Rattus norvegicus: one gene and its partner. The protein of the gene in region 1 interacts with the protein of each later gene in a pairwise test. Links are inferred from orthologs where the notes say so. Each region holds a gene or a part of one and is shown in the gene's direction. Other genes may lie near its edges.

Evidence for each region.
Region 2: the proteins of Anks1a (region 1) and Dok3 interact in a two-hybrid assay, tested with the Homo sapiens proteins (2 studies listed by BioGRID and IntAct). The link is inferred for Rattus norvegicus from reciprocal best matches to the Homo sapiens genes ANKS1A and DOK3.

What each region holds. Positions count from the first base shown.
Region 1 is NC_086038.1:5,963,665-5,968,253, forward strand, and holds the start of Anks1a (ankyrin repeat and SAM domain-containing protein 1A), read left to right. Parts: upstream 1-1,778; 5' UTR 1,779-1,902; coding exon 1,903-2,090; intron 2,091-4,589. UniProt on the Homo sapiens protein: Regulator of different signaling pathways. Regulates EPHA8 receptor tyrosine kinase signaling to control cell migration and neurite retraction.
Region 2 is NC_086035.1:9,114,044-9,118,599, forward strand, and holds the start of Dok3 (docking protein 3), read left to right. Parts: upstream 1-1,531; 5' UTR 1,532-1,555; coding exon 1,556-1,621; intron 1,622-2,393; coding exon 2,394-2,699; intron 2,700-4,556. UniProt on the Homo sapiens protein: DOK proteins are enzymatically inert adaptor or scaffolding proteins. They provide a docking platform for the assembly of multimolecular signaling complexes. DOK3 is a negative regulator of JNK signaling in B-cells through interaction with INPP5D/SHIP1.

The sequences.
Region 1 (4,589 bases):
ATGACGTCACGCCCACGGCTCCTGGGAGGGGTCATTTTCAGAAGCGCGTTCATGGCTCAGGGGCTTCACGTAAACTGACTTTGTTTTAACGAGAAAGAAATGTATTAGTATAGAGCCTCGGCTTTAGAGAAGAAGCGTTTTTGAAAGAGCGTACATTCGTTTACCGAGAGACTTCTTTTTCTTCTCCTTCCTGGGAATGCAATGCCAATGAATCCTTCTTTAACTTGACTCCTTCAGCGCAAAGTCGAGGGAACAGGGAGAAAACTTCGTCCCTGTTGTTGCCTTGGACTGAGCAACTTCCGGCAGCGACCCAACCTCGTATTTTCTGAAGAACTGAGACCACCGGCTTGTGTCCACCAGGGAACTGCTTAGGCTTACCTTCTGTTTCGCAAGCATCTCTATCTAGTGCCAACAGAACGTAGCCAACTCGTTGAACGTAGCCAGAACCTTGAATTTCATTCATTGTCTCAAATATTGGCCACCTGCCTCGCGTCAGAACAGGGCTAGCTAGTATCCTGAGAAAAACCAGAAAAAACAATAAGCAAGCAAACAATCGTCTTCTCCCCATTACCTTTTCCCCTCAGTCCACCAATATTAAAAATTGGGACTGGTCCCCCAAATCTTTTAAAATGTTTCTCACGACAACTAAGAGAAAGAAGGTCTCTTCTGACCATTTATTGGAAGAATTAGTAGGATGGAGAGCGAGGATATGCGTTTTAAAAAGACTTCTTGTGCTGGAGAGATGGCTCAGTGGTTAAGAGCAATGACTACTCTTCCTGAGGTTCTGAGTTCAAATCCCAGCAACTACAATGGTGGCTCACAACCATCTGTAACGAGATCTGATGCCCTCTTCTGGTGTGTCTGAAGACAGCTATAGTGTACTTACATATAATAAATGAATCTTTTAAAAAAAGATTTCTTAACTTTTTCTTTCGTGTGTATGGGTGTTTTGCATATAAGTCTGGGCTCCGCACGCTTTCGTGGTACCCTGGGAGGCCAGAAAAGAGGATCACATCCGCTAGAACTGGAGTTACAGACTGCAGTGAGGTGCCACAAGGAATGGGAAACAAACCTAGATCCTCTGACAGAGCAGCCACGGAGCCACCTAACAGCCACTCCCGTACCGCCTCTTCCGCCCCCCTTTTTGAGATAGGGTCTCATTATGTAGCCTTGGCTAGCCCGTAACTTGCTTTGTAAGCCAGGCTGGTCTTAAACTCGCAGAGATGCGGCGGCTTCTGCTTCCCGACTGCTGGGACAAACGGCGAGTGCTACAATGCCAGGCTAACAGCAGTTGTAAAAACTCTCTGGCCTTCCCTCAAGGAAGCACCAGAGGGCGGGATTTTTCAAGTCTGGTTCTAGGTATCCGCAGCTATTCCGTAGTTAATCTATGTGTCTTGAATGGAATTGAAAACATGGGTACCCGTTACCGCCTTTCTTTTGTTTCTACGATGCCTGGACCAATGAGCGGATTTCCAGTCCCATGAGGTCCCAAACCTTTGAGAAGGCGAGCACTTCGGGAAGCTCCAACAAGTGTGCTGCCTTCCTTCTCTCCCACCTGTCGAATGGGCGGGTTCGCTGGGCGTGAACCGCGTCTGCGCCAGGCTCCACTCTGCACGCCCGGACTTCCACTCTGCCACCCTGGGTCACCTGCAAGGCGGCGCCGAGCCCCGCCCACTAGGTGGGCAAGGGGGCGGGGCGCGGGGGCGCGGTGACGCGTGACGCCGGATCCCGGAAGTGACGCGCCATCAGGGGAGGGGGAGACCAAGGAGGCGGGGAGGGGGAGAGAGGGGGTGGCGTCCCCGGCCGGTTTGAGGGGTGCGTTGCCCGGAGACGGAAAGTTTAGGAGCCTGAGCTGGCTCTGCAAGGCTAGGGGTTGGGGTCCGAGGGGTGGCGGTCCTGGGGATGGGGAAGGAGCAGGAGCTGCTGGAGGCGGCCCGCACCGGGCACCTCCCGGCCGTGGAGAAGCTGCTGTCCGGGAAGCGGCTCTCCTCCGGCTTCGGCGGCGGCGGCGGCGGCGGCTCCGGCAGCGGCGGCGGCTCCGGGGGCGGCGGCCTCGGCTCTTCCAGCCACCCTCTCTCCAGTCTGCTGAGGTGAGTGCGCGCGCCGGGGCTCGCAGTCCGGACTGCGCGGGCTCCCCCGAGAGGTCGCGGCTCCTACGGCGCGCGCGGCGCAGGCCGGGGCTCTCGTGTCTGGCGTCGCGGCTGCGGAGAATGGGGGGAGTGCCCAGGTGGCAGCCCGCGCCGCATGGCACAGCTCGGCGTCACCCTCGCCCGCCGTGAGGTGCCAGCTGTCGCTTCTCACAAAAGCCACTTCAGAGCAGACCGAATTCGCGGAATCCCTCTCACATCCTGCAGGAACTCCCACGCCGCGCGCAGCCTCGCGGCTCCCCTGGAGCACATTCTCGTTTCCTTCTCTTAGGAACTTAGGAACCTTCCACCCGGGCTGTGCAGAACCCGGCTTTTGTTTGTTTTTAAAATTGCTTCTGCGTTGATCGCGCACGAGGTGTTCAGTCTGTGAGCCCCTCTTGGCGCCTGAAGCTCAGTTTGTCATTTCCTTGTTGTCACTCTGGCTGGGTTCGTCCAAGTGGCATCTGCTCATTTCCCCCTGGGACTTAATCGCAAAGAAACCAAGGCTTGCTTAAGGGAGCTTAGGTGCGTTCAACTTTCTGAGATCTTTTAGACGCTTGAATCTCGGGCTGCAAGGCGTCGGGAGGGAGTAGGGGGTCACTCTTTGTAGTTTACAAGGGGGATTGGAATGCTCTGTCAGAGTGCACAAAATGTGTTGGTTCAGCAGCGCTTTCGTAGCTGTTTTCTTTTCCTTCCTTGTTCTTTTGAGGTTTTTAAGAAGTGGAAGTTCATTTAGAAGTGGCTTCCTTAGCTTCTGTTCCCTGTAGGTTCATGCACCTTCAGTTTAAGTAAGCTTGGAGAGGTTGCAACCAGGAAGCCCACGGCTTTAATAAATAGGTATTCATTCAGTCCTGAGTCTCAACCCACATATTTTCAGGAAGATTTTTAAAAGCACTATACAAGAACCCTCCCCTTCCTTTGATGGGGAAAAAGCCGATTCTGTTTGGCTGCACTCAGTCTCTTGAAGAATACTGGCTCATAGGTGGTAATCAAAGTTTTTTGAATAGATAAAAAGTACTGATTCTAGTAGAATGGTTGTGTGTGTGTGCCTATGTTTGGGTGTGTGTGTGTGTGTGTGTGTGCGCGCGCGCGCGCGCGCGAATGTGCACGATGAAGGCTAGACGTTGACATCTGGCGTCTTCCTCACTTGCTCTCCCCCAAAACCTGGAGTTTGCTGATTGCGCCAAACTGGCTGGCCAGCAAGTCCCAGGGATTTCCCTGCCTCTGCCTTCCCAGTACTAACATTACAGCCACGTTGGCGCGCTCTCTCTCTCTCTCTCTCTCTCTCTCTCTCTCTCTCTCTCTCTCTCTTTATTCTTCCTTTAAACATGGGTGCTAGATCAAATTCAAGGGTTCCTGTTTGCTGAACAAGCACTCTATGGACTGAGCCATCTCCTCAGGGGATGATCAGCCTCTAAATAAATTGAGATCCTAGCTGGTAGTGGTTGGCACTTCAGAGGACAGACACTTCTCTGGGATAGGTTAGAATCTCCAGGGGAGGTGCACCGAGGCTGGCTTTGAAGTCAAGGTTTGGGTAGATAGCACGTAGTTGGGAATGCTCAGAGGAAGCACACCCTGTTCAGAGGCAGGGTTTGTTTGCTGTTTGTGGACTACTCGGGGACTTCCTGCTTGGGATCTTGAGTAGTCGTGCCTTTAAAGGCAAATAAGAATGGATCGGTATACTTTTGGCTCTCATGTTAGCAGCCTGTCTTGTATTAGCACACTTGTATTCTCAGTCTCTATATTAGCACCTGAAGACAGAGTCTCCCAGTTGGGGTTTCTATTGCTGTGATGAGACACCATGACTAAAAGCAAGTTGGGGAGGAAAGGGTTTATTTAATGGCTTGCACTCCCACATCATAGTCTGGTCACTCACTCAGGACCAGAACTCACCAGGGCAGGAACCTGGAGGCAGAGCTGATGCAGAGGCCATGGAGGGGTGCTGCCGACTGGCTTGTTCTCCTGGCTTGCTCCTCATGCCTTGCTCAGCCCTCTTTCTTATAGAACCCAGGACTACCAGCCCAGGGGATGGCACCACCTACAGTGGGCAGAGCCCTCCCCCATCAATCACTAATTAAGAAAATGCCCTACAGCCAGATCTTATGGGGGCATTTTCTCAGTTGGGGCTCCCTCCTTCCAGGTGACTCTAGTTTGTGTCAGTGGGTGTAAAACCAGCCAGCACACAGGCGCTCAGCAACTAAACACGGAACACTTTTTTCCCTCATTTCTTTGTTTGTTTGTTTTTAGGCAGTGCCTCACTACATCGCCTTGGGCTGGAACTCATTAAGTAGGCTGGGCTGGCTTTGAACTAGCAGAGATCCGCCTGCCTCTGCCTCTGCCTCCCACGTGCTGGACTTCCCACTTTTTTTTTTTTTTTTTTTTTTTAATTCTGCACGTACTCCTTTAGCTGAGAGGCAAGGGAAAACTGCACGGATGATGCAGTACTTGGGGATTTGCCGTGGA
Region 2 (4,556 bases), on another chromosome or scaffold:
TGGGGAGCCACAGGTAAGACATGTACATGCCGATGGCCTGTTGAAAGACTGGCTGGCCCACCAACCCAGCCGGGGCTTCACTTTCCTGTAAGAAGGGGCCAAAGAGGTGGTACAGCAGCACCCAGGTACTTGGAGCTCTGCACCGAGAACTGCAAGGAGAGGTAGCAGTCCCTCAGGCTAGGTCTGTCGCTCAGCGTGTGGCCTCCGCCAGTTACTTAAGTTATCTGAGCCTTGATTTCCTCATCACTGAACTGTCAAGAGAACGAAAAGCACAGGACCAGGCTGTGTGAGCTCAGAGCTGCCTGGACCACAGCCATGGTGGGCACGGAGCTGCCTGGACCACAGCCATGGTGGGCACGGAGCTGCCTGGACCACAGCCATGGTGGGCACGGAGCTGCCTGGACCACAGCCATGGTGGGCACAGAGCTAGGTGCCAAAGGCCTCTTGAGTGTATTTCCATGTGCACTGTGTGACAACACACACACACCCCACAAACAACATTCCTCAGCTGGGTTACAGCATTCTTCCCCAAGGTGACATTACACAGGTGACAAGATACTCCCATAAATTGTATTCATGCAAAGCTCCAATACTGGCCTCCAACAAGGCAGGTCAGGTGGGGTGGGGTGGGGGCAGAGTCACTGGGCAGGAAGCAACGCTTAAAGAAGCATGTGACCTCCCTGGGGAGCGCACTGGGGGCCTGCCGCCCACACATGTGACAAGCAGTGAACCTGGATATGGAGCCCTTGTGGCCTGCTACCTCATGTCTGTTGTGTAATGCTTCACTCTCCAGTTTTGGAGAGTGGTCAAGGAAGGCCTCTAGGAAGAAGCAGCCGCCTGTGGCAGGGCAGAGCAGTGGTAAGGGGTGCCTAGAGGGGACGGATCTGAAGAACTACACCTCAGGAAGTAAAGGCGAGAACAGATGGGGTGGAGTTGCCCAGACTAGACTCAAGGGGGAACAACAAGATTGGTGGACACAGCTGGGGTGGGCCTAAGTGGGGTGAGATGAAAATGAGCTTTGGAAACATTTCTGATTGACCTGGGAATGTATGGCGGTTACCTTAGCATGTCCAAGGCCCTGGGTGGATCCCAGTGCTTAAGAGCACGGCAAACGTGCCACTCAGAATGGCAGCCACTTTAGCAATCTGGTAGAGAAGGGTCGGAGGCTGTGCAGCTCCCATCCTCACGTTGCACAGCTGCCTGGGAATGGGGGAGGGTTCGGAGCTTGTGACTCGGCATCCACCCTGTGGTCAGACACTCAGATCCAGCTGATCCAGGTGCATGCGCAAGAGGCAGTCCTCACCCCCCACGCCACCCCGGACCCTGCTGGCTTCAAGCTCCCCATAGGCAGGTACGGTTTCTTGGAACAGCAAGGACCCTAAGGAAGAGATTTGTTCTGAGTACTGTCCTTTAAACCAAGACCGGGCTCCCCTCCCCCTGGCCCTGCAGCTGTCTCTGGACAGAGGGAGGGGGAAGTGGCCAAAAAACGAGAAGTTAAGAGAAGTTCCTGTCCGGCTATACCCAGTCTCCTCGGGACTTCAGAACTGTTGTGGCCATGGAATCTGTGGAGACACCTGTCAAGGACGGCCTCCTCTACCAGCAGCACATGAAGTTTGGCAAGGTGGGAAGCCCAGGCTGCCAGCCACGGGCAGAGGAGGGAAGCCCCTGCTTAGCTAACCACACAGCTGACCTGAGATAACTGGGAAGGGGGTATGGGTGAAGTGAAAGCTGGAGACAGGAGGTTCTTGGCCCAAGAAGGTTAGGGATGAAGCCTCCTCCCTAAGCCAGCCTCATACCGTGTTAGAGATGCCAGGACCATGGAAGCGTTGTAGGAATCAAAACCTGTGTGTCCAAGGGTTCCAAGGCTCCTGGAGAAGGCCCAGGCCTGTGTGTCAGAAGCCCTCTGAGGACGGAGCAGACAGGCTGGTTCTCCTGGAGAGGAGATGGGCTGGGAATCTATCTTTTTTTCTCCTTGAGCATCAGACTGTACACCCACAGTTCAACTACAGCTGCTCCTGGGCAGATAAACCGTCTGCTGCCTCTGCGATGTCATTTGCATGTTTCCTTCCTTACCAGCATGAAGCAGAGGCCGCCTTCCCACCCCACCCAGCCCATGGCCCAAGTGCCCTTTCTGGTTGTGTAACAGCAGTGTCAGTTGGTCTGCCCCAGCCATTAGATACTATTAACTGTGAAGGTCATCCAGAACAGGGCAAGGTGTGACCAGGGCTCAGGGCTGACCAGCCCCAAGTGTAGATCTCTTCCTGCCTACCCCTGCCCCAGCAAGGCCTCCTCCTTCCTCAGTACCCTAAGTCCTAGGGAGGCAGAAGCTAAGCAGCTTGTACAGAGCCAAGGGGCAAGGGTGGCTTTCTTCCCAAGGATCTCCTTTCTTACAGAAATGCTGGCGCAAAGTGTGGGCTCTGCTGTATGCAGGAGGCCCGTCGGGAGTAGCTCGGCTAGAAAGCTGGGACGTTCGTGATGGTGGCCTGGGGCCAGGAGGTGACAGGCCCGCAGGGCCTGGCCGTAGAGGGGAACGCCGGATCATACGCTTGGCTGACTGTGTATCTGTTCTGCCGGCGGATGGTGAGAGTTGCCCCAGGGACACTGGGGCCTTCCTGATCACCACCACTGAGCGAAGCCACCTGCTGGCTGCACAGCACCGCCAGTCATGGATGGACCCCATCTGCCAGCTGGCCTTCCCGGTGAGTGTAAAGTGAACCAGCCTGCAGGGACCACCTCACCCCGCTTCCCCATGTCCTTGCCTAGTCAGATCCGGCCGAGTGGTAAGTGTTGTCCAATCCATGCAAATAGAAACCCATGAAAGAGTCCTGTATTCTCCGCACGTTATAGAGCAAAGGAAACTGTAGGTCAGGAGGACAAGTGGGTCTGAGCCCCGAGGGACAAGAGCAAGCACACAGGGCAATGGTCTGAGACGGGTGGCTGAGCCAAATGGACAGGTACTACAACACAGTGGTATCATAGGCAAAGGTCCTGGGGCAGGGAAACATGATCTGTTTAAAGAGCCAAACAACAGCTAAGACACACAAGAGTCAAGACATTTGGAAAGGTCAGCCAGAGCCTTTTGAATCCACCTTGGGCCATGTGTGGGTAAGAGGTTTTATGATGAACCCAAGAGGATGGCTTTGGGTATTAAAGCCAGGGGCTAATGGTTGTAAAGCCTCAGGCTAATGGTTGTAAAGCCTCAGGAGAGTTTACTTTCAGACAAACTCTCCTGACTTCCTCACCAAGTTGCTCATGGAGCAGCTGGAGAGGTGCTGCTCTTGTCGAAGGCTGGTGTTCAAGGCCCAGCCCACACACAGCAGCTCACAACCGTAAGTCCCAGGGGCTTCGATACCCCCTTCTGACCTCCATGGGCACGATACACATGTAGAACACAGACACGCATGTCGGCAAAATTGATCGTGAGGTTATCATATGGCTGCCGTTCTCCCACTTGAGGTATAGCCAAGAGAATGAAAGAAGGTGCAATGTAGGCCAATGCTCACAGCAACACGGTGTAGTCACCCAGAGGTGAGACAGCACGTGACCCCCTCACCCCCTCAGGAAGAGCTAATCAGAACCTCACCCTGGGCAGGGTGGTACTATCTGTAACCTCAGCATTTGGAAGGCGGAGGGAGAAGGGTCATCTCCATGGCCAGTCCCAGGCTAGCCTGGACTACTTGGGACCCTGTCTCAAAAGCAAGATAAAAAACAACTAACGTGTAACTACGACATGAAAGACATCAGAAGGTAACGTGCTCGATCTCCTAATTTTTAAAACCGCGACCCAGAATAAGCGCATCCACACAGACAGACAGCAGGTGCTGCCGTGCGAGGGAAGAGGGCTGGCTGCTGGCTCACGGGGACGGGCTGTCATTTGAGATGGTGACAGGCTCTGGATTAGGTGCTGCTGCCGGCTGTACGCACATGTGAAGCCACTAAAACCCACTGAACTGGGTACCTTAAAATAGTAATGTCCAGGGCTTGAGAAATGACTCCGTAGCGAGGAGCATGGACGGCCCTTCCAGAGTAGTAGAGTTCAATTCCCAGCAACCACATGGCAGCTCACAACGTCTGTCACTCCAGTTCCAGAGGACCTGACACCCTCACGCCAATCCAATACACACAAAATAAAATTGGATAAATAAAAAAAAATGGTAATGTTGATTCGTATTGTTTGTTTGTGTTTGTAGACAAGGTTTCTCCATATAGCCCTGGCTGTTCTAGAACACACTCTGTAGACCAGGCTGGCCACCTGCTTACCTCTCAAATGCTGAGATTAATGCTACCCCCACACCACCACCTAACCACACCACCTAGCTTATCACTCACTTTTTTTTAAATTAGGAAATGCATAGGGAGCCAGGCAGTGATGGCACACTACTTTAATCCTAGGTCTTGGGAGTCAGAGTCTAATGGATCTCTTGAGTTCAAGGCTAGCCTGGTCTACAAGTGAGTTAGTGAGTTCCAGAAGAGCCAAGGCTACACAGAGAAATCCTGTCTTGAAAACAAAAAAGGAAAAAAAAAAGTGCAGGTAGAGGAAGAGGAGGCTGGGATTG